5 linked regions of the Oryctolagus cuniculus genome follow. The protein of the gene in region 2 purifies or fractionates together with the protein of the main gene of each other region. This does not show direct contact. Links are inferred from orthologs where the notes say so. Each region holds a gene or a part of one and is shown on either strand. Other genes may lie near its edges.

Evidence for each region.
Region 1: the proteins of DUSP9 (region 2) and MAPK11 purify together in Homo sapiens (affinity purification with mass spectrometry; 4 studies listed by BioGRID and IntAct, with this or other methods). This does not show direct contact. The link is inferred for Oryctolagus cuniculus from reciprocal best matches to the Homo sapiens genes DUSP9 and MAPK11.
Region 3: the proteins of DUSP9 (region 2) and PGRMC1 purify together in Homo sapiens (affinity purification with mass spectrometry; 3 studies listed by BioGRID). This does not show direct contact. The link is inferred for Oryctolagus cuniculus from reciprocal best matches to the Homo sapiens genes DUSP9 and PGRMC1.
Region 4: the proteins of DUSP9 (region 2) and MAPK14 purify together in Homo sapiens (affinity purification with mass spectrometry; 8 studies listed by BioGRID and IntAct, counting the BioPlex papers as one, with this or other methods). This does not show direct contact. The link is inferred for Oryctolagus cuniculus from reciprocal best matches to the Homo sapiens genes DUSP9 and MAPK14.
Region 5: the proteins of DUSP9 (region 2) and MAPK3 purify together in Homo sapiens (affinity purification with mass spectrometry; 4 studies listed by BioGRID and IntAct, with this or other methods). This does not show direct contact. The link is inferred for Oryctolagus cuniculus from reciprocal best matches to the Homo sapiens genes DUSP9 and MAPK3.

Annotation. Positions count from the first base shown.
Region 1 is NC_091442.1:123,217,362-123,222,191, forward strand, and holds the start of MAPK11 (mitogen-activated protein kinase 11), read right to left. Parts: upstream 3,129-4,830; 5' UTR 3,062-3,128; coding exon 2,946-3,061; intron 1,407-2,945; coding exon 1,277-1,406; intron 999-1,276; coding exon 940-998; intron 856-939; coding exon 744-855; intron 218-743; coding exon 188-217; intron 106-187; coding exon 58-105; intron 1-57. UniProt on the Homo sapiens protein: Serine/threonine kinase which acts as an essential component of the MAP kinase signal transduction pathway.
Region 2 is NC_091453.1:132,017,743-132,021,369, reverse strand, and holds part of DUSP9 (dual specificity protein phosphatase 9), read right to left. Parts: intron 3,341-3,627; 5' UTR 3,160-3,340; intron 2,572-3,159; exon of another isoform or gene 1,812-2,571; intron 1,668-1,811; exon of another isoform or gene 1,572-1,667; intron 1,306-1,571; 5' UTR 1,271-1,305; coding exon 898-1,270; intron 91-897; coding exon 1-90. UniProt on the Homo sapiens protein: Inactivates MAP kinases. Has a specificity for the ERK family.
Region 3 is NC_091453.1:73,830,256-73,833,565, reverse strand, and holds the end of PGRMC1 (membrane-associated progesterone receptor component 1), read left to right. Parts: intron 1-1,185; coding exon 1,186-1,289; 3' UTR 1,290-2,495; downstream 2,496-3,310. UniProt on the Homo sapiens protein: Component of a progesterone-binding protein complex. Binds progesterone. Has many reported cellular functions (heme homeostasis, interaction with CYPs). Required for the maintenance of uterine histoarchitecture and normal female reproductive lifespan.
Region 4 is NC_091436.1:133,478,796-133,483,405, reverse strand, and holds the start of MAPK14 (mitogen-activated protein kinase 14), read left to right. Parts: upstream 1-1,633; 5' UTR 1,634-1,996; coding exon 1,997-2,112; intron 2,113-2,704; exon of another isoform or gene 2,705-2,839; intron 2,840-4,610. UniProt on the Homo sapiens protein: Serine/threonine kinase which acts as an essential component of the MAP kinase signal transduction pathway.
Region 5 is NC_091450.1:7,472,469-7,476,979, reverse strand, and holds the start of MAPK3 (mitogen-activated protein kinase 3), read left to right. Parts: upstream 1-1,456; coding exon 1,457-1,629; intron 1,630-2,593; coding exon 2,594-2,776; intron 2,777-4,444; coding exon 4,445-4,511.

The sequences.
Region 1 (4,830 bases), on a different chromosome or scaffold from region 2:
GCTCAGGGCCCCTCCTCGCCCCACAGCCCACCCGGCCCAGTCCCGCCAGTCGCTCACCCTGAGCTCGCAGTCTTCATTCACCGCCACGTTGCTGGGTTTCAGGTCCTGCGTGGGCGGGCAGAGGCCTGAGCGCAGGGATAGCGCCCGCCTGAGCCCACCCGCCGCCCGTCGCCCACGCTGCACCTACCCGGTGGATGATCCCTGCAGAGTGGATGTACTGCGGGGAGGGAGGTGGTGAGCATTGGCCATGTGCCCAGGGACCCCCACCTCCAGCCCAGGCCCTAAGACCCCGCCTGCAGCCCAGGCCCTAAGACCCCCACCTCCAGTCCAGGCCCTAAGACCCCGCCTACAGCCCAGGCCCTAAGACCCCCACCTCCAGTCCAGGCCCTAAGACCCTGCCTGCAGCCCAGGCCCTAAGACCCCCACCTCCAGCCCAGGCCCTAAGACCCCGCCTGCAGCCCAGGCCCTAAGACCCCCACCTCCAGTCCAGGCCCTAAGACCCCACCTCCAGCCCAGGCCCTAAGACCCCGCCTGCAGCCCAGGCCCTAAGACCACCACCTCCAGCCCAGGCCCTAAGACCCCCACCTCCAGTCCAGGCCCTAAGACCCCACCTCCAGCCCAGGCCCTAAGACCCCGCCTGCAGCCCAGGCCCTAAGACCACCACCTCCAGCCCAGGCCCTAAGACCCCACCTCCAGCCCAGGCCCTAAGACCCCACCTCTAGCCCACGCCCAGAGACCCCCACCTTCAGCCCACGCAGCAGCTGGTATACCAGGAACTGGACGTGTTCGTCACTCAGCGCCTGGCACTTGACGATGTTGTTCAGGTCTGCGCCCATCAGGGTGGTCACCAAGTACCTGGGGCAAGGTAGGGGGTCAGGGGTCAGGCCGGAGCCCCACTGCCGTGGGCCGAAGGTGCTCCTCTAGCCGCCAGGCACTCACACTTCACTGAAGTCCTCGATGGACGTGGCTGGCGTGAAGACGTCCAGAAGCCCGATGACCTGGGAGGCAGGAAAGCAGCTGGGCAGCATGCGGTGGGCAGGGCTCGGCCCCAGGCCAGAGCCCTCCTCCTGCCAGCCCTCCCTCCCATTGGCCCAGGGCCCGGGGCCCTCCTCCCGCCGGCCCTCCCCCCCACCGGGCTTCCCCACCCCCCCCGCCCTCCCCCCCCCGCCGGCCCTCCCCACCCCCCCCGCCCTCCCCCCCACCCTCCCTCCCACCGGTCCTTCCCCCCACCCTCCCTCCCGCCGGCCCTCCCTCCCGCCGGCCAGCACCCGCTCACGTTCTCATGCTTGAGGTGCTTGAGCAGCCGCAGCTCCCGGTACGTCCTGCGGGCGTGGATCAGCGACTGGAAGGGCCGCGAGAGCTTCTTCACCGCCACCTTCTGCCGCAGCCGGGCGTCGTAGGCTGAGCTGGAAGGCGGGCGAGTGAGGCAGCCTCCCCAGCTCCGCGCCCAACCCCTCCTCGCCCGAGATCCAGAGGAGCCCCTGAGGCTGGGCCCCGGCTCGGGGAGAGGCCTGGGTACTCCCAGGGCAGAGGGTGCCCCCTACCCCGGGACTGGGCAGGTCCAGAAGTGTGTGCTGCATCACTGGCAACCGGAAGTGGACACTGGGAATGCCCAGCGAGGCCGGCCTTGCCCAGCCCCACGCCCCTCCCCTCGGCAGCAGCCCCTCGCCTGGCGGCAGGTGCAGCAGTCTCGGTCACGATCAGGGCTCAGCTGGGAGCAGGTCTGGAGCCCTTTGCACAGCCGGCTCTCTGGCCAATGCGCCCGCCCACGCACCCCTTCCCTTCCCCTCAGAACCCGCCCCGCAGTGAGCCCAGACTTGACTGCCCCCGGTGTGGGACGCTCATGGGTGCCAGTGGCAGAGAAAAATTCACCAGGCCCCCAGTGCCCCCATCACCAGGTTGTGACCCACAGGGGCAAATCCAAGTCACTGCTGGAGAGGAGGTGGCAGATCCTTTGGCCCAACTGCATCTGTGTGGTTAGCTGAGCAACAGGGAATGGGCACCCGCGCAGTCACCTCCTTGGCAGTGGAACTCAGCAAACATGGAGGGTTGGGGTGCAGCCCAGAAAAGCCCAGGTCCCCCTGTGGGGACTTGACACCCCCGGAACTCCCAGATGTGCAGACCCAGCCATGAGTCCACCTGGGTTCCTGCCACAATATCCTCTGGTCACTCACACACGCCGGAAGACGGTGCCCCGGTGCTGGAGTGGCCGAGGTGACCGCCTCAGGCTGCGGGGACAGGCAAAGATCCGCCCAGGTGCGGGCAGCCACGCCCGCCCACCAGTCCCCAGCCTCTCCGGCCCCACTGGGACCCAGCAGCGGCCAGTGACGACCTCGTCGGGTGCCATGGGGGCACCTGGCAGCGTCCACACCTGTGAGCAGCCTGTCTACACAACGCTGGTCTGTCACCGCCCTGTCCGGCTTTCCTGTCCTGGAGCGAAGGCCGCGGCCCAATCGGCACCCCCGCCCCCCACAAGCCGCCGTGGTCTGTTTGGGTTCAGGCTCTGGAACCTGCGCTCTGGGGATCGGGCGTCAGGTCCCCCGCTCAGGATGGAGTCCGAGACTCCTGGGAAAACGAGGAGTGGGCAGGACCCGCAAGGGGCTCCGAGGCCACGCTGCGAGCCTCCGTTTTCAAACAATGGCGCGGGGCGGGGGCGGGGTATCCGCCGGACCCTGAGCCGCGCGACCCCTAACCCAGGAACTGCGAGGGGAGCGCAGACGCCGAGGGCCCCGGGGCGCCCGGCCTCCGCCGGCCGCGCCATCCCGGGACTGGGCGCGGCAGGAAGACGACCCCCGCCCCGCTGGGGGCGGCGTGCGGCGGGCACGCTTCTCGCACGCCCTCACCCCGACGCATCGCCGCGGCCCGCGCAGGGCCCGGGGGCGGGGGCAGGCCGAGGCCCCTCCCCACGCCCGCAGCCCCGAGCGCGCCCCGCGCCCCGCCCCTACCAGACCGAGCCGTAGGCGCCGGAGCCCACCGGGCGCAGCCCCTGCAGCCTCTGCGGCACCTCCCACACCGTCTTGTTCAGCTCCTGCCGGTAGAAGCCGGCGCGGGGCCCCGACATGTCCGGAGCCGGAGCCGCGCGCAGCTGAGGGCGGCGGGGCGCGGGGCGGGGCGCTGGGCGGGGCGCGCGCGGGGCTCCTGGCTGGGGCGGGGGCGCCCGGAGCCGAGCGGAAACCGGGGCGGCGGCGGGATCCGGGCCCGGAGCTCGGGAAGCGCTTCCTCTCGGGACGGAAGGGGGTTGAGGGCCGGGCCTTTGTGGCGCCGGACCACCTGCTGGGGTCTCCCGCGGGCGCGGCCGGTCAGCACCAGGGACAGCGGCGACCCGGGGGGCCTCTGGGGCCAGGGCTCGGGAAGAAGCGGCCCCAGATGAGTCCCCTCGGGTCCCTCGTACTTTTTGCCTCTTCGGGAAGCCCACCCGAACTTCCCCAGACCCTGGGAGCCGCCCCTACCGCCCTGCGCGGCGGTCCCGTGGCCGGCGTCCTCCCGTTAAGCCCCGGCCTCGCGGGCAGTCGCCGCAGGCACGGACAGACGCTGGGTCGGGGGCTTTGGGCGGGACGCCCCCTCCCGGGATGGGAGGAACTTGGGCTCCAGTCGCCCCCTCTTTTTCAAGACGAACCCAGCGGCGCGCGCCGGTGAAGCTGGGGTGCTTGGGACCAGCGTGAAACGCGGAGCGAGCTCCCTGGACCCGCAGCTTCATGCAGACTTCATGGGTCTTGGGACCCTGGCCGGGGTCCAGGGCCTGTCCTGCTGGGGCCCCTAAGGGGTTCGGAGACCCGGGCGGGGAGGGGGACTCAGTGGATGCTTCCCCACCGCCACACGAATCGCTGGTGAGGGTCTGGAACAAGCAGGATGCAGTCTTGGCTCCATTCTCTGGACATGGACAGGTCAGCAGCATTGCTCGTGGCTCCTTCCCATCCTCACCTCTCCCTCCCCCTGCTCACTGGAAATTGGACAGTGACCGGAAGGGCTGGTCACCGCTGGGGCTGAAGGGCATTCTGGCCACCTGGACAAGCCAACATTCACCCCTCGCTGGCACCAGCCAGGCTCCTGGGTCCTGTCACTCCCATCCCTAAGGGGAGGGGTGAGGGTGGAGACCACCTGGGCGTGGATGGCAGGACCTACAGCCTTCCCCTCCCCCTGAGTGTCCCTTGCGTGTGTAGGGGTGTCCTCACAGATGAGCCCCTTCTTTCCTGACTGCCCCGGGGGACAGCAGCAGCAGACCCCTGGAAGCCAGGCCTCCAGGTTCCTGTTTCCCTACAGCCAGTGTTGGGGAGGGGCCCGAGTCACCCCCTTCCAGGAGGGGTTCACAGTCCCCTGACCCCGGCTCCTGGGCTCCCCAGCCGTAAGGGGAGGCCCCAGCGGCGAGACCAGGCCGGAGACCATTCAGACAACGCACACAGGGACAGCGAGTGTCCAGGCCGCTCTGCTTCTTCCTGGGCTCAGCCTGCTTGGGGTTCACAGGAAGCTCCGTGGGGGCAGGGCCCCTCCGTCCCATTGGCTGCAGGCCCAAACTACGTCTTCATCTTGTGGCCCCGCCCCAGGTCCTCGGGGTTACCTACCCCCACCCAGACCCCCACCAGGCAGGAGCAGAGGAGTCCGTCGCCCTCAGAGGTGCAAAGGGTGGTCCTGGGCGAGTCATCCTGGGTAGCTCGTGGGACAAAGCTGACCTCACAGCCCCAAGGCCTTGAGACTCTGGCCCTCTGTCCAGTGGGGCCGGCACACAGCGCGAGGCTTACCAGGCATCTCTCTCGCTCGCTGCTGCCTCATGCCTGCCCGGGGAAGGGAGGGGGACGCTGAGGGCGCCAGATGGGGGCGCTAGAGCCAGTCTCT
Region 2 (3,627 bases):
CGGGCACGGAGGCTACGCTTGAGCCCGCGTGGCCATTGAGGCTGCTCTCACACAGGTGAGGACACTCAGCCTGAAACCTGCTGAAGCCACCTGTGGGGAGAGAAGCGGAGCGCCTCGGAAGCTGTCCCTTTGCAGGTGTCCCCAAGGGGAATGCAAAGGCCAACAGCTGGGGCGGGGTGCGTAAGATGCCTGCTTCGCATCTTGGACACAGTGCCTGGGGGCCAGTCCTTGTGTTGGCAGCTTCCTGCAGAGCGCACACCCCGGGAGGCAGCAGCGGGTGACAGCTCAGTGCTTGGGTCCCTGCCACCCCCGTGGGAGTCCCGGATGGACTTGCAAGCAGCGAGCAGCAAAGAGGAAAGGTTTCAGTGTCAGTTCCTTGCCTGAGAGATGCAGGGGGCTGGGGGGGGCGCTCGGGAGAGAATCTAGCGTTCCCCCGCCCAAGGAGCCAGCATCCGCTGCATCTACCGATAACGCGGTTCCCTCCCAGGCCCTGGCTGGGGGGGGGGGCTGGAAACCTGACACTTCTTCTATTTACACGTCCCTCACACAGCCCAGCCACCTTCCCTGACCAGCCTGCTCCTGCTGCCTTTACCGCTGCTCTCCCCTTTCCCAGCCCGAGACTGCCCCTGCTCTGTCCTGCCCCAGGAACTTTGTGCTTAAGCATCAATTGCGCAGACTCAGAAAACCCGGGGCTTCCAAGGGTGAAGGGACTTGCCCAAAGTCAGGCTCCCGCTCCCCTCCCCCAAAAGCAGCCTGGCAGGTTGTCAGGTGAGGCTTGGCCAAGGTCAAATTAATTATGAATCCCCCGGGAAGGCAGGGTCTTCCCCGGGCCCAGTCCCCCCCCCCTCGTCCCCCTTCCCCCAGGCCAGTGCCTGGCGCCTCTTGTCCGGCACCTACCCTGTAGGTAGTAGGCCAGGTAGCCTTCCTCCCGCAGCTTCTGCAGCAGGGTGCCCAGCACCGAGTCGGCTTCCCACTCCTCGGCCTCGCCGTCGGCCTCCCCGCGCCGGCGCCGGCCCCCGCTCTGGTCGTACAGCAGCACCGGGGCTGGCGGAGGCGGCTGCAGCGGCGGCCCGGGCAGCAGCGCGCGCACCGACAGGCTCCCCCTCCGCAGGCGGCGCAGCAGCAGCGCGGGCAGGGCCACGCTCAGCGCCCCGCCGATGCGAGCCGACTCGTAGAGCTCGCGGCTGCGGCAGTCCAGGAGCAGCAGGCGCGGGCGCGGGGGCGCCAGCTCCTGGCGCAGCCAAAGGCACGAGCGGCCTAGGCCCTCCATGGCCCTGAGGCTTCTTGCACGTCGGTCCGGGGGCGCTGCATACAGAGGGAAGACGCGTGGCATGAGTGCCTGTCTGCGCTCCCGGTGCGCGGGCCGGGGGCGTCGAGATGGGAAGCCAAGCCCGGGGCGGGCGCCCACCGTCCCTCAGGGTCACCCCGCAGTTGCTCACCGCTCCCACAGTGTGAGAGGTGCCACACCTCCCCCACCCCCCGCCGCCCCCGCACCCAGGAGATGGCTGGGCGTCTAACGGTGCCCTCGGGGCACTCGCTGGGAGGCCACAGGCACCTCCCTTCACACCTACTTTCCGCGTCTCTCGCTCAGCCTGCCCGGGAGCTGGGCCGGGGGTGGGGGGGTGGTCACTCCTCAAGTTCCAGCTTCCGACTTTAGGGCTGTGTGCCTACGAAGGGGTGCGGGTCAAGGTCCCCCCACCCCACTACCAGGGAACAGAAGTGCCACCGGGTGAGGAGCCTCCGCGAGCCCCCTCGGGGTTGACCTGGCCCGGGCCCCCCACACCCTCAGCAGAGAACAAAAGGAGAGAGACCTGGAGAGCGATCCCGCGGCAGGCGGCCGCGCACGGACGTCCCAGCCAGAGCACTGCCACCGCGGGGCGCGGGTGCCGTCCCTGGCCGGGGAGTCCCCAGGCCCGGCGCCGGCAGGAGGCGGGGCGGTGGAGCGGCTCGCACGTGGAAGTTCAGCCTCGCGCTGCTCGCGCGCCGGCCGCTTCCTGGCAGCAAGACTGAGCTTCCACCTTAGAAGCCGCTGCCTTCGGACGTGGAGTAGCCGCTCAGAGGGGCGGGCCGGGGCGGGGCGGGGCGGCGGGGGCGGGCTTAGGGGGGCCAGCAAGCCAATCGAAGTAAGCGAAATCAGTCGGGTGGGACCCGCGAGTGGCAGGCTGAGCTGAGCCTTCCACTCAGGCGGGATAGGGTCGGGGCAGAGGCCAAGGGCAGGTCAGGGGCCCAGTAGGGGAGTAGTTGTAGTTCCCCTGGCCGGCGCCAGCTTGGTCCCTGGAGGCAGGGGGAGGGGGTGAGGACAAAAGCCCAGCGCCCCTGCCCAGAGGCTGCCTCTAACCCAGCTAGTGGTGACTCCGGACCATCACAGCCCCTGCATGGACGTCAGTGGCCCGATCTGTATAATGGGCTCATTAGAGCCAGCACCTTGGAGCAGCACGGGATGTCACTGGAAGCTTCATTCACACGCACCTGGCTGAAAGCTGCCAGGAGCAGCTCCAGGGTGTCAGCACTCTGGGGGACTCTGCTCCTCCACACACTGACCCTAGCAGCCACCCCAGCTCCTCCCTCTGCTTCAAACTCAAAGCTCCCCCACCCCTCCCCACCCCCAGCCCCACCGCCACCCCCAGACTGATCAATCTGGAAAGAGGCAGTTTCTATGAAAATCTCTCTCACATCCATGATCTCCTGTGTCCTGCACTGGCATGCACTCGCGTTCACCAACTCTTGGCCAGGTCACTGTGACAGCTTCCCAAAGTCTCCCTGCCTCTGGGCCTCTGTTCACGAACCTGCTCTCTGCCCCACCGTGTGCCAGAACACCATTTAGCCCGGGCCGGGGCCCCCCATCCTTCCCCGGGGCACAGGGCACTCCCAGTGTGCCGCAGCACAGACCCAGCATAAGCAGGGCCACTGAACGACATCTCAGATGGGAGACGTGCTGAGCGCTGAGACAATGGAAAAGCCCCTCTGCCTGTGTGTCCTTTCTCTGCCCGAAGCCCAACGAAAACAGATACCAGTGGTGAAGGAAGACGCACAACAGATAAGATAAAGCTCTACAAACCGACCAAAAGGTCAAGACCCTGAGAACACGTGGGGAAAAGGCTCCACGCTGCACTAAGGTGGAATGCCACGGGGCAAAAAACATCCTGGGAGGGGGCTCACCCTCAGGCGTGGAAGAAAGAGCACTCAAAAGGACGAGGCACAAGGTTGCTGGGAAATCACCATGCTGCGCCCTCTCGCTGGCCACTTTTCTAGCGGTGTGGTCCGTTTGGAAGTCAACCTTTGGGGAGTTCAGCTGGCAGCGTGCAGTGAGAGCTACCTGTGAGGGTTCCGCCCTAAGGAACTGAAGCACAGGAAAGCCGAGCTATGCACACGGTGAGGGCGCCACAAGCCATTTCCCTAAGAAGGGAGCAACGCGAAGCACACACTTCCAGCGAGGCGCAGTCCACCTGTATGTTGCAAACAGTTGGCTCGTGAACCATGCGAGGGAGATGAGAAAATGCATGAGGTAATGCTGAGGGGAAGAAAGTAGGTTCCACAAAGCAGGTCACCTCTAAGGGGCCTTCAGTTTGCCCCCTCCCTCACCCTCTGCTAGCGGCCCTGGGCTCATCGCTGGCCACCTTCCATCAT
Region 3 (3,310 bases), about 58 Mb from region 2:
AGCGTTTACATTGGGGTTTACACTATTCTGTTTTCTCCAACATCCCCAGTCCTCTCCCGACTCCTTTACCACTTCCTGTGGCTGCCCATAGGTTTCTAACTCATGCCAGGTAAGATTCTGTCTCCTGCTATCCTTGTATCCACTAGATTGTGATTCTTGCTCTTCACTGTCAAACTTGGAAGAAGTTGTTGTCCCTAGCCACTCCTTCATTTCCTGTCTGCCTCCTTCCTCCCTACAACATGGCTTCTTTCTCAAAAACTCTTTCTCCAAAGTTTCCAGGAATGTGCTTTTTGGAATATCAACCTCCAGCTTTGATCGCCTGTCATGTGCCCCTCTAGGGTGGCTCCCTCTGCAGAGTCCCCATTTTGGATATCCCATTGGCACTTCCTTAACTCCGGTCAAAGTGTATGGGATCCCTCTTTTCCATTCCCATAGCAGCACCCTCCTCCTGGCTGCGATTCCTTCCCATCTGGCTCGGCACACTTGCCCCCTGGTGACCCTGCTGCTCGTCTCTGTGGCTGGAATCTGCCCTGTACTCCACAGCGATAATATTGTTGCTAGAACACTGTTTTACCACGTCATTTATTTCCCCACAAACCTTCCGTGCCCTTTAGCACCTATAGGATGAGTCCAAACTCCTCATGCTGGCTTTCCAAATATTTCACAATATTTACCCACATCACTTCACCAACTTTGTCCCCTACTTCTTCCAGCTCTGCTGCTGCCCTCTTTGTTGGCTCTCTTTGTTGCTCCCCAGATGGGTGCAGCCTTATCTGTGTCCCTTTGTGCATAGTGTTTTTATTTTCTGGACATCTCCCTCCCCAAATGCTTCTACATATTTTCCCAAGTGTAGCCTCCTTCCACGAAGTGTTCTGCAACGCTTCTCAGTAACTCATAAGGAGGCCTTGCTCTTCTAGTCACTCCCAACAACACAAGCAGTCCATTCTGACACTACTGTGCATGTTCATTGCTAGACATTACTACCTGTTACACTTCTGCCTCCTGAACAAAGCAGTCACTTCTGCTGGCAAGGACTGTGCTATAAACTGCCTTTGGGTCTTTCAAGAAACTTCACACATTGCTGAGTCTGTAGGCCTGTACGGAATGTTTTCAAAGGCGTTAGGATAGTGATTTTTTTCCAAAGCATGAAGAATGACCGTTTGTGTTTTCTTCCTCTACCTCCAGTCAAGTATCACCTCGTGGGCAAACTGCTGAAGGAAGGGGAGGAGCCCACTGTGTACTCAGATGAGGACGAACCAAAGGATGAGACTGCGCGGAAAAATGATTAAGGCATTCGGTGGAAGCATATCTATTTTTGTATTTTGCAGAATCATTTGTAACATTACAGTCTGTCTTTAAAACATGGTGATTTCGATATTTAGAAAAGTTTGGAACTTGCTGTAAATTTTTTAATTAACATCGCTAGTGACACTGATGAAATTAACTTCTGTCTTAGAATGCATGGGATGTTTATGTGTCACAAATCCAGAAAGTGAACCGCAGTGCTGCAATGCAAACATTAATGGTGTTTCTCTTCTATCTGTAGTTAGTACAGGCTGAATTGTAAGACCGTTTTTCGTGAGGAACGGTTAAGGCTGGGGTTCTTCCCCAAACAGGTGAAAAATGTTTGATGTGCACTAAGAACAAAGGATCAGTGTTTAGTCATGATGTCTCTAAAGATAGAAAATCCCTCTGTTCTCAATTGACTTAACTGCATGATTTCTGTTTTATCTACCTCTAAAGCGAATCTGCAGTGTTCCAAAGGCTTTGGGATTGATTGAAAAGAGCTGTCCATAACAAAATGAAATCTCACAGCTGGGCTCAGTTGGAAAAAAACATATATGCTGTGCTTTGGACTGCATTGTGGTCTCTGCCCTCACGTGGACCCACAGACGCTCTCACAAGCACAGTAATCTGCAGTTCGGATTACAACAGGATCTGAACATTTAAAAGAAAGCTTTGGAAAAAAAACCTAAGCTGGCTTGCCTATAAAACCTAAATATATGAAGACGATTATGGGACTATAGTCCCAATCCTTGTGTTCACGGTGGAGCCATGATTATTTGGTTTTTCAACACAATTTGACCTGAAAGAAGGGCATACTGAATGGGAGCAGGTATTTGTCCTAAGAGCCTCCATGCACACCTCTGAAAAATGAGGAAACAGTACATGTCACTAGCCAAGTGGTCCTTAAAGTGTATTCATAAGGTGACAGTCATTATGTTGTTCCAAAAGTGTAGTCGCTGCGAAAGTAGTAGTCAGGTGTGTCTAGGCCTGTGATATCCCGCCTTTGGTTAACACTAAACTTAGCTTAAGTAGACTCTACAGTTGTATGAATTTGTAAAATTGTACTATGAACAACTAGTGAGGTTTCAGACTTCTGTAATTGTAGTTAAATAGTCATTGTATTTTCTTGTGACCTGTGTTTAATGGTTTTACCTCAAATCAAAACAAGATGAAGTGCTTTGTTCAGTTAATAAAATGATTTTACTCAATATAGTATGGTGGCTTAGTTTTTTTAGAACTTATTATAAGGAACCAAATGCAATCATTTTACTTTAGCTCAAAATCCAGAATTTCATTTTTTCAAAAAAAAATTTATTTATTATTTGAAAGGCAGAGTGACAGAGGAGGAGGGAGAGAAAGAGCACGCACTTCTATCCATTGGTTTCCAGATGGCCACAGCAGCCAAGGCTGGGCCAGGCCAGGCTGAAGCCAGAGGCCTGGAAATCCATCTGGGTCTCACATTTTTGGATGGCAGGAGCCCGAGCACTTGGGCCATCATCCACTGCCTTTCCAGGCACATTAGTAGAGAACTGGATTGGAATTGGAGCAGCTGGGATACAAACTGGTGCCCATATGAGATGCCTGTGTTGTGGGCAGCGGCTTAACCCACTGCCCCATGACACCTGCCCCCAGAGTTTCATTTTTGAGTGCAGATTTTTTTGTATTCAATTCAAAACAAGTCTATAAAGGGGCAAAACCTCAAGCAGAGCTCACACCAAATACCACCTTGTCCTGTTAAAAATTGATGAATTGAATTGCTTTTTCTGGCTCATCAAATGCTAACTTTTACCCAGAGCTTTGTAAACTAGAAAAGGCAGACCTGAACCTTGAAGTATATAGCAAAGCTAATAAAGGATAATGTTACATTACTGAAGGCATTGTCATTGCCAAGTGCTAAGGAAGGATTTTGTTTTTGTCTAATATATTGTCTGATAAGGAAACTACCAAGAATCCTTATGGGAGCAAAGCTAATTAACTTCATGTCAGAATGATAGCAGAGTTGCATATGCAGTCAGCAATATAA
Region 4 (4,610 bases), on a different chromosome or scaffold from region 2:
CTGGGCGTGACTGCCCTCCATCCAACAAAGCAAGAGTGGGGCTGGCGCTGGCCTGACTCAGAATGGGGACCGGGGTGTTGCAGCAGTCTTCGCCTCTTCGCCGGGGGACGCCCGTGCATAAACAGGATTGGATGGGAAGAGGAGGAGCCAAGGGATCGGGAAGGGGTTCAGTCAGGGAGCATAAAGTGACGAGACCGACGGGGCGGGCGAGCCAACTCCAGGGCGTCTGGAAGGAGTCCGCTTGCAAAGGGCACGAACTGCCTCTTGCCGGTGCCGTTCCACGCGGCCGTTCAAAGCAGAGGCGGGAGATAAGCTTCCAGGCACCGTCGTCAGCCACTCACTCTACCAATATTGACCGAGCGAGCGCCCGCGACGTGCGGGACCCCGCTGCGGGCGGCGGACCCAGCCCGGCCCGCGACCCGCGACTCTCTGCCTGCAGCCCCGCCTCCCGGGCGGCCCTGGCAGCAGCTCACCTGTTTCCCCGCCCGAGGCGGGAGTGCGGCGGGCGGCTCGGGTCTCCCAGGGCTCTGGCCTGGCTGGCAGCGCTGCCGACCCGGACGCCGGCGGTTCCCGAGCCGTTGCGGCCGAACCCGCGGGCGTTCGGGGCGGGCGGGCAACGAGAGCGGGGGCGAGGAAGGAGAACACGGCCGTGGGAGCCCTCGGCCCCTGTCCTGGGGTGGCCCTCAAAGGATCGGAGGACAAGATAGACTCCCATCCTTGCGCTCAGGGTAGCAGGCGTTAGCACGGGCCGGGCCAGCACCAGTAGGTATGGGCCTGGGGTTACAACACTTGCCCACTCGCGGGTATTTTCTTGTCCCTATGAGGTGGGAACGGAGGACCGGAGTTCTCTTGCAACTGAGCAGGGCCTACCGGCTTGCCTAAAAGCGACATTGCCACAAGCGCACTCCCTGCTCCTCCGCCTTCCTGGGAGAGCCCCCACTTAAAATCTCCAAGTCCTCTTCTCAGGACTGCTCTTGGGGCCGAAGTCGGTTTATAAGCTTCGGGGCCACGGCTTTTAAGACACATCAGAGCCACCTGTACGGCCCCGACCCCCGCAGAGGCCCCTGAGGGTCCCGGGGCGACCTTTGCACCCGTTCGGGTGCAAAGTCTCGGCTTCCAGCGGGGCTAATATTTGTCTTTGGGGCCGATTTCGTCAGCGTCCCGGAGGGTTAGCCATCTGTCCATGAGCACACGGGAATGCGACGGCCTTCTGACTGGAACCAGTTTTTGACGCCGGTATTTCTTGGAAACGGCGGAGTTCCACCGAGCAGGTGCTCGGCCGCAGTTCCAAGATCTGTTGGCTCTTTTCCCGACACGCTTACTCGTCCCCGTCGCTCTCCGCAGTGGTCAGGCACTACAGCCCCACCAACCACAGTGGGGCGCGCGCGGCCTGTGGTGCGCGAGCATCCCCGCCTTAGCCGTCCGCCTCGGCGCCCCGAAGAACAGTCCCCGGGAGTTCCTGCCTCTGGGCTCCAGCTGTTGCTCTCTTCTCGCGAGAACTGCTCCTCCGGCGCTCTCTCCTCCCGAACCCCCTCCCGCGGGGAGGTTCCATATTGGGTAAAATCTCGGCTCGCGGAGAGTCCCGGGAGCTGATCTCGCGAGAGGACGGCAGGCGGCTCCTGTTCGCTGGCTCTGGAACTGCGACCACTGGAGCCTCAGCTGGCGCTGCAACTGGAGCGGGAGTCCAGCGGCACGGCCCGCCGTCGGCCCGGCCCGGGAGAGGGTGCAGGGAGACCCCGGCGGGCGCAGCCCTCAGCCTCGGAGCGCGCTCCTGCCCTTTGCCGGGCTCGCCTCGGTCCCTGAGGCGCGTCCAGCAGCTGCAGCTGACAGGGGCCGCACGCGCGGGTGTCTGCGGGGGTCTCAGCAGCCGCACCTGCGCGGCGGCCAGCGCGAGGTCCCCGCCCGCCTGGGCGGGCGACGAGGGCCGGGGAGCGGGCGTGGGTGCAGGCGGGGGCACCTCAGGGCCACCTCCTCGCCCCGCGGCCGTCGCTGGAAAATGTCTCAGGAGAGGCCCACGTTCTATCGGCAGGAGCTGAACAAGACAATCTGGGAGGTGCCCGAGCGTTACCAGAATCTGTCCCCGGTGGGCTCTGGCGCCTATGGCTCCGTGTGGTGAGTGTTGCTAGGCCCGGGGCCGCGGTGGGTAGGGTGGCCCCTGGTGCCCGAGGGCCAGGCCTGCCCCCGCGGCTCCGCTATGCGCCCAGCGGCAGGAATTTCCCCCGAGGGAGAGCATGGCTGTCCCTGCACCCCCTGCATCCCGCAGCCTGCACGCCCAGGGCGGTGGTCCATTGCGTGCAGGCGCAGGTCCGCTGTGGGCGGTAGGTGGTGGTGCTGGCTGGAGCTCGCTCCTGGCGCACGCCCTGCGCTTTCGTTTCGCTGAGCGCTGCTCCCCCCCGGGGGGCAGGCCCTGGGGGAGGGGCGGCTGTTCTGCGGGGAGCTGGGGAGGGGGGTCCCTACGAACACTTTGCAGAAGGACCCTCTCCCGGGGGTGCACCCGTCCCGGGGGCGCGGACGACCCGGGGAGCTGCGGGAGAAAGCAGAACCCGGTTGGGAGATCGGGTGGTCTGAACAAAACTGACGACGAAGGTAGCCCCCTCCAGGCTTTTCTTTCTTTCCTTCTTTTTTGCAAACCTCTGTGGAAATCCCGTCTGGAGAAGCGTTCTTTTTGAATTCGCAGCGACCCATAGGGCTTAAAATATCGGCTTTATCTCGGCGAGCCCTGTGCCAGCTTGAGTGGTGTGTTTCCGATTCGGTCGAGAGCGTGTTTCCTTTCCGTGGAGGGCGGCGGTGGTGGCTGCCGCTTGAGAAACTGGCGGCCTGGCTGATTAGTCACATACCACTGCTCATTTAAAGTATTGTTTGACGAAGCAGGGTTCTCACGGGGAGCAGGGGAGCCTCGGATCCCTCCGCCGCGTGCCCTCGAAACCCAAAAGTCGCTCACGGTGCAGGGAGCTACTGTGAATATTTGAAAGTTGAGATAATTCCTGTGAATCGTGTATTTTTAAGGCCCCTTGGAGAGTGTGCAGAGACCTTATCTGTGGCTATGGCCTGAGATACACTTGGTTTTCGTTAGGATCGGGAACTTCCAGGAGAAGAAAGTTAGACACCGGCCAGCTGTCCTTTACAAGGTGCCTGTATTTAAGTTGACACCAGGACATTTCCAGACCTGAAGTATTTCACTGACTTCTCTAACTTCCAAGGCCTTAGACACTGTATTTTATACTTAGTATCTTTTGAGAGCTCCTGATCTGAAACTAAGTGTCCGGCTTCATAGTAAGCTTTTTCCTGTTTTATCAATTCCTGGGCATGCATGGGTGGAAAAGGAGCTAGGAAAATGCTTTTTTTGTTTTGTTTTGTTCGGAACAAATTCCAGGCTTTTGGATTTGTTCATCTTTAAATATGATTCCCGTGTTTCTTAAAATCACATCATGAATTTCCTGTTTGGTAGAATCTTCTGGGTAATTGAGATTGTGCAATTGTGTCCAGCAACAGATCGTATTGCATTTTCTAGTTCAAGCCGCTTGAGTAATGCTGCAGGTGTCACCGTGGCTGACATCTTTCTCCCACTTTTACGCTGTGGCAGTTAACCTTTTCAAGGAATTTGAAGCTTTTTTAGTTAGTATATATACTAGTTATTGATTTGCTAATTTTCAGAGGTGTATTTAGATAATTGCTCCTTTAAAATTTAAGGACTCTGTGGCCAGCGCTGTGGTGCTGTTATCCCACATGTGCGCAGACTTGAGTCCTGGTGGCTCCACTTCTGATCCAGCTCTCTACTGTGGCCTGGGAAAGCAATGGAAGATGGCCCAAGTCCTTGGGCCCCTGCACCCAGGTGGGAGATCCAGAGGAGACTCCTGGCTCCTGGCTTCAAATCAGCCCAGCTCTGGCCTTTACAGCAGATGAAAGACCTTTCTCTATGTCTCTCTTCTCTCTGTCTGTAACTCTATCACTCAAATAAAATCTTTGAAAAAAAAATTTATGGGCTCATTAATATACCTCCATTTTTCATTCTTTTTAAGGTTTTATTTATTTATTTGAGAGGTAGAGTTACAGGCAGTTGAAAGGGAGAGATGGAGAGATAGGTCTTCAATCCGCCAGTTCACTCCCCAAATGGTCACAACCGCTGGAGGTGGGCCAATCTGAAGCCAGGAGCCAGGAGCTTCTTCTAGATCTCCCACATGAGTACAGGTGCTTAAAAATTGAGCCATTTTCTACTGCTTTCCCAGGCCTCAACAGAGAACTGGATCGGAAGAGGAGCAGCCGAGAATCAAACTGCCGGGACTCAAACTGGCACCCATATGGAGATTTAACCTACTGCACCACAGTGCCACCCCCTCCATTTTCCATTTTTTTTAAAAAAAATTATGTATTTGAAAGGCAGAGTTAGAGGGAGAGAGAGAGAGAGAAAGCTTCTCCCTGGTTCACTCCTCAAATGGCTGTAACAACCAGGGCTGGGTTAGGCTGAAGTCAGGCACCTGGAACTTCATCCTGGTCTCCCATGTGGGTGAAGGGGCCCAAGCACTTGGGCCATCTTCTGCTGCTTTCCCAGATACGTTAGCTGGGAGATGTATAGAAGTGGAGCAGCCAGGACTCCAACTGGAGTGCATATG
Region 5 (4,511 bases), on a different chromosome or scaffold from region 2:
ATTGTGTCGCTGACCTCACCCAAGTTAACCCAGCTCTCAGATTCTCCAGCTGCAAAATCTGACTCTGGTTCAAATCTCCACTGCTCCTCTTCCGACCCAGCTCCCTGCTGTGGCCTGGGAAAGCAATAGAAGATGGTCCAAGTGCTTGGGTCCCTGCACTCACATGGGAGACCTGGAAGAAGCTCCTGGCTTCCACCTGGCCCAGCTCTGGCCATTGGGGCCATTTGAGGCGTGAAGCAGTGGATGGAAGATCTCTCTCTGTGTGTAACTCTGCCTTTCAAATAAAAAGGAAATATATTTTTAAAATTTGATTCATTCATCAAAAAGAAAATTTTTTTAATGTTTCAGTGCCAGGCATGGGGGTGGGAGGTGGGGATCCAGTGAGGAACAAGATTGACCTTGGCCCCTCTCAGCCTACTGAGAGAATCAGGAAGATGACAACCCTCTTGTGAGTTCAATTTTGCCAAATCCAACAAGCTGGATTTTTCTTTTTAAGATTAATTGATTAATTACTTTAAAAGAGTTACAGAGAAGGAGAGGCAGAGAGAGAGAAAGTCAATCTTCCATCTCCTGATTCAGTCCCCAAATGGCCCCAATAACCAGAGCTGGGCCAGGCGGGAGCCAGGAGACTCATCTGGATGGGCCCACATGGACGCAGGGGCCCAAGCACTTTGGCTGTCTTTGGCTGCTTTCTCAGGCCATTAGCAGGGAGCGGGATTGGAAGTGGAGCAGCCGAGATGCATATCGGATGCACCTGCTATGTCACAGCGCCGCCCCAGATTCTTTCCTTCTTCAAGTGTATTTTAACGAAACCTGCCCACCTGGCACGCACGTGGGGGCAACAGCTGGCCCTGCTGCAGCTGCTGGGAGGGCCAGGGCCTGGACCCCACGCCGGCAGCAGCACCTCGGGCTTCGGCCTCACCCTTAAACGGCAGGTGGGTCTCCACGCGGCTCTGATTTCAAGTACACTCCCTCGGCAGCCGAGCAGAGCTGGCTCAAGGAGGCCAAACCACCAAGGGCCGAGAGGACCCCCAGGGGGCTCCCACAGGAGCAGCTCTGGTCCCAGAAGGCCAGGCACTCCGGGGTGGGGGGCGTCCGGCCCCAGCACACCTTGGCCGGGTGGCCCTGGGGAAGTCACCCGCCAGCTGCCTAGAAATCGAGGGGGTATGGACCGCGCCTACAGCCGCCCGGCGCGCCCGCTCCCAGCACACGGAAGCCCGCAGCGACCAAGCACCGCTGCCCGGCGGCGGGAAAGCCGGACGCGCGCGGGGAGGGCCACGTGACGTCCGCGGGCGCGCGCCCCGGCTCCGCGGCGCGCGCAGGGCGCGGGGGCGCGGGGGCGCGCGGGGGCGGCGCGCGGGGGCGGGGCCTGGCGCGCGCGGCCCCGCGGGCGGGAAGGGGCGGGGCCTCGGGCGGGGCCGCCGTGGGGAGGGCGGGCGGGAGGGGAGGAGTGGAGATGGCGGCGGCGGCGGCGGCTCAGGGGGGCGGGGGCGGGGAGCCCCGGGGAGCCGATGGGGTCGGCCCGGGGGTCCCCGGGGAAGTGGAGGTCGTGAAGGGGCAGCCGTTCGACGTGGGCCCACGCTACACGCAGCTGCAGTACATCGGCGAGGGCGCGTACGGCATGGTCAGGTGAGGGGGCGTTCCGGGGGAGGGGGCGGCCTCAAGGGAGGGGGCAACCCCGGAGGAGGGGGCGGAGGAGGGCTGCAGGGGGCTCGTTGGGCCGTGGAGACTTGGAGTGGCCTGTAGAACCTGGGCACTCTGGAGGCTTGGTGGAGTATGCCCGGGATAGGAGCCCTGGGGTGCTTTCTGGGGGAGGGGGCGCTGCCCATGTTCCTAGGGGAGGGGGCTTGGAGGCTTTGAACGGGAGCCCTCCGCCCCGAAGGGAGCAGCGGTATTTGGGTGTCTGGGGTTGAGGGAGCGGTGGCCCTAGAGACCCGCGTGGGGCGACGAGAATCAGTAGTCTTGGTGAACGAGGACCCTCTTTTGAGAGAGGGGACCTTAGGGTGCCTTGGAGTCCCCAAGCGAGGCTGTGCCCAGGAGTGGAGCGGCACAGGCAGGGCTCTGGGTGGGGCGAGGCTTCGGGCCTCCGGGCCTGAGGAGAGGTGGGGAGTGCCTGCTTGCCTGCATCTTGGGGAGGGGTCTGGGAGCTGGCCCAGCCCTACTGTGTGCTTTGGGCCTTTGCACCGACCGGAAGTTGCTCTGCTGTCCTCGGCCCAGACCCGCCCCTCGGTCCCGCTCCCTGGCCCTGTGGTGGGTTGAGGCAGCCCATGGTGGGGAGGGAGGCCCGGGCTTGGGCAGAATGGAAGGGGGTCAAGCAGAGGGGAAGTCAGCGAGTGGCCAGTCTTCCTCTGTTTGTGAAGTCACCGAAAGGCGGCCTGGCTGGTCCCCAGCTTTCTCCCTGGAGAGCCCAGGCCTTCACAGCAGGAAGGAACGAGCATTGTTTATAACTTGGCCAGAGCCCTCTCCTGCTCTGTCCCCTCCCTCCCTGCCCCTGGCCTGGGTGGGGCCCGCTGGGCCTGGTTCCCGCTCCCCCCCCCCCATCACCACCACCATCATGGCCACACCAGCAGCGACGTCTCTCTGGGCCTCTCAGCTCAGCCTATGACCACGTGCGCAAGACCCGCGTGGCCATCAAGAAGATCAGTCCCTTCGAACACCAGACCTACTGCCAGCGCACGCTGAGGGAGATCCAGATCCTGCTACGCTTCTCCCATGAGAACGTCATCGGCATCCGGGACATTCTTCGGGCTCCCACCCTGGAAGCCATGAGGGATGTGTATCCTACCCCTGGGCCTCCAGAGCTGGGCTCCCCCCTGCCCTGCCACCCTCCCAAATGAAGGCAGTGACAGGCCAGAGGCCCCTCCCCCCCTGACCTGCGGCTGTCAGGCAGGGGGACCTTGGACAGGTCCCTTCTTTGCCCCAAGCCTCCATGGGGAGCCTGGGCGCCAAGGTCTCTTTGGGCTCTTTGTTTTCTGCTGTCTGCAGTTATGTGACCTGCTCTGCCCACGGTCACTTCTTGCTGAACAGACTGGTGATTCTTTCTCTCTGGATCCCCAGACTGGAAAGACAGCAGGGAGGAAGAAAACTGCTTTTTCTTGAGGGCCTACTGCGTGTCAGGTGCTACCCCTGCCTTTGGGTCCCAAGGATGAGGGGACTGAGGCCCGGAACAGCCCCCAAGCAGGTGTCTCTGTGGCTGCCTCACCCCTCCCCCACGCGGGAGCTGGTCCTTATCTTTCTCTGGGACTTCCTGCTCAGAGCCTCGCCCTGGTCACCCGCGCACCTGCCCCTTGCCCAGGGAGGGACAGCTTAGCCTTAATGCCCTCCCCCAAGAGTGCTTTTCTTGCTCCTTGTCCACTTCCGGCCTGGCTCAACCTGGCCTTGCGACACACGTCGCCTCCTCGCCACCCACCCATACCACCTGCTGGTCCCAGTCCAGTCCTCCATCCAAGGGTGGGGATTTGGGTGCCATGGCCAGAGCCCTGCCACAGACCAGGGACGGGAGATTTCCATACTCACCCAGCTTGCCGTGTGACCTGGGGCAAGTCACTGCATTTCCCTTTGAGAGAACACAGGAGATCTAGGCCGGGCCAGATGTTCTCTGAGCAGGTGTGCTGTGGGGGGTGTCTCCTCTCTCATTGTCCTCCCACAAACAGGCAGGCATTTTATTTTCATGCAAAAAAATCAAAATACTTGGATAATTTTTTTTTAAGATTTATTTATTTGGAAGGCAGAATTAGAGAGAGAGAGAGGTCTTCTATCTGCTGGTTCACTCCCCAAATGGCCACAATGACCAGGGCTGGGCCAGGCTGGGCCAAGAGCCAGGAGCTTCCTCTGGGTCTCCCACATGGGTACAGGGGCCCAACCTTTTGGGCCATCTTCTACTGCTGTCTCAGGCACGTTAACAGGGAGCTGGATCAGAGGTGGAGCAGCCGGGACCCGAACCAGTGCCCGTATGGGATGCTGGTGTTGCAGGCGGCAGCATTACCCGCTATGCCACAGCGCCAGCCCCCCAGGAGCTTTTTGAAGACCCCTTGAATTAGTGGACTTTGACGGGGTTTTTTGCACCAGAATCAATTTCAGTGATTTTTTTTTTTAAGTCCCCAGTGGAGATTTGAGGCATTACTGGGTGGACCCTGGAGCTGTCACTCTGAACCGGCATGTTCTCCGGCCCTGGACAGCTTGTTAGTAGCCCCATTTCCCAGGGCCGCAGGAGAGAATGCTCGGGGTCACCTGCCGGGGGTGTGAGAGGCCCTGTGCCCTGCTGCTGAGTTCAGCCCGGCTCTTGACAGGGGTTAGCAGATCTGCCGGGTCCCGGGGACCCCAGGTGAGGGGACGTGCGGGGACGTGCAGCCGCATCACCAGAACCTGATTTCCTTAACTGCGTGCCTCCCCCTGCCCCCTGCCCCCTGCCTGGGGGAGGGGCGGGGTCTCGGGCCGTTCCCAGCTACATCGTGCAGGACCTCATGGAGACAGACCTGTACAAGTTGCTCAAAAGCCAGCAACTAAGCAAC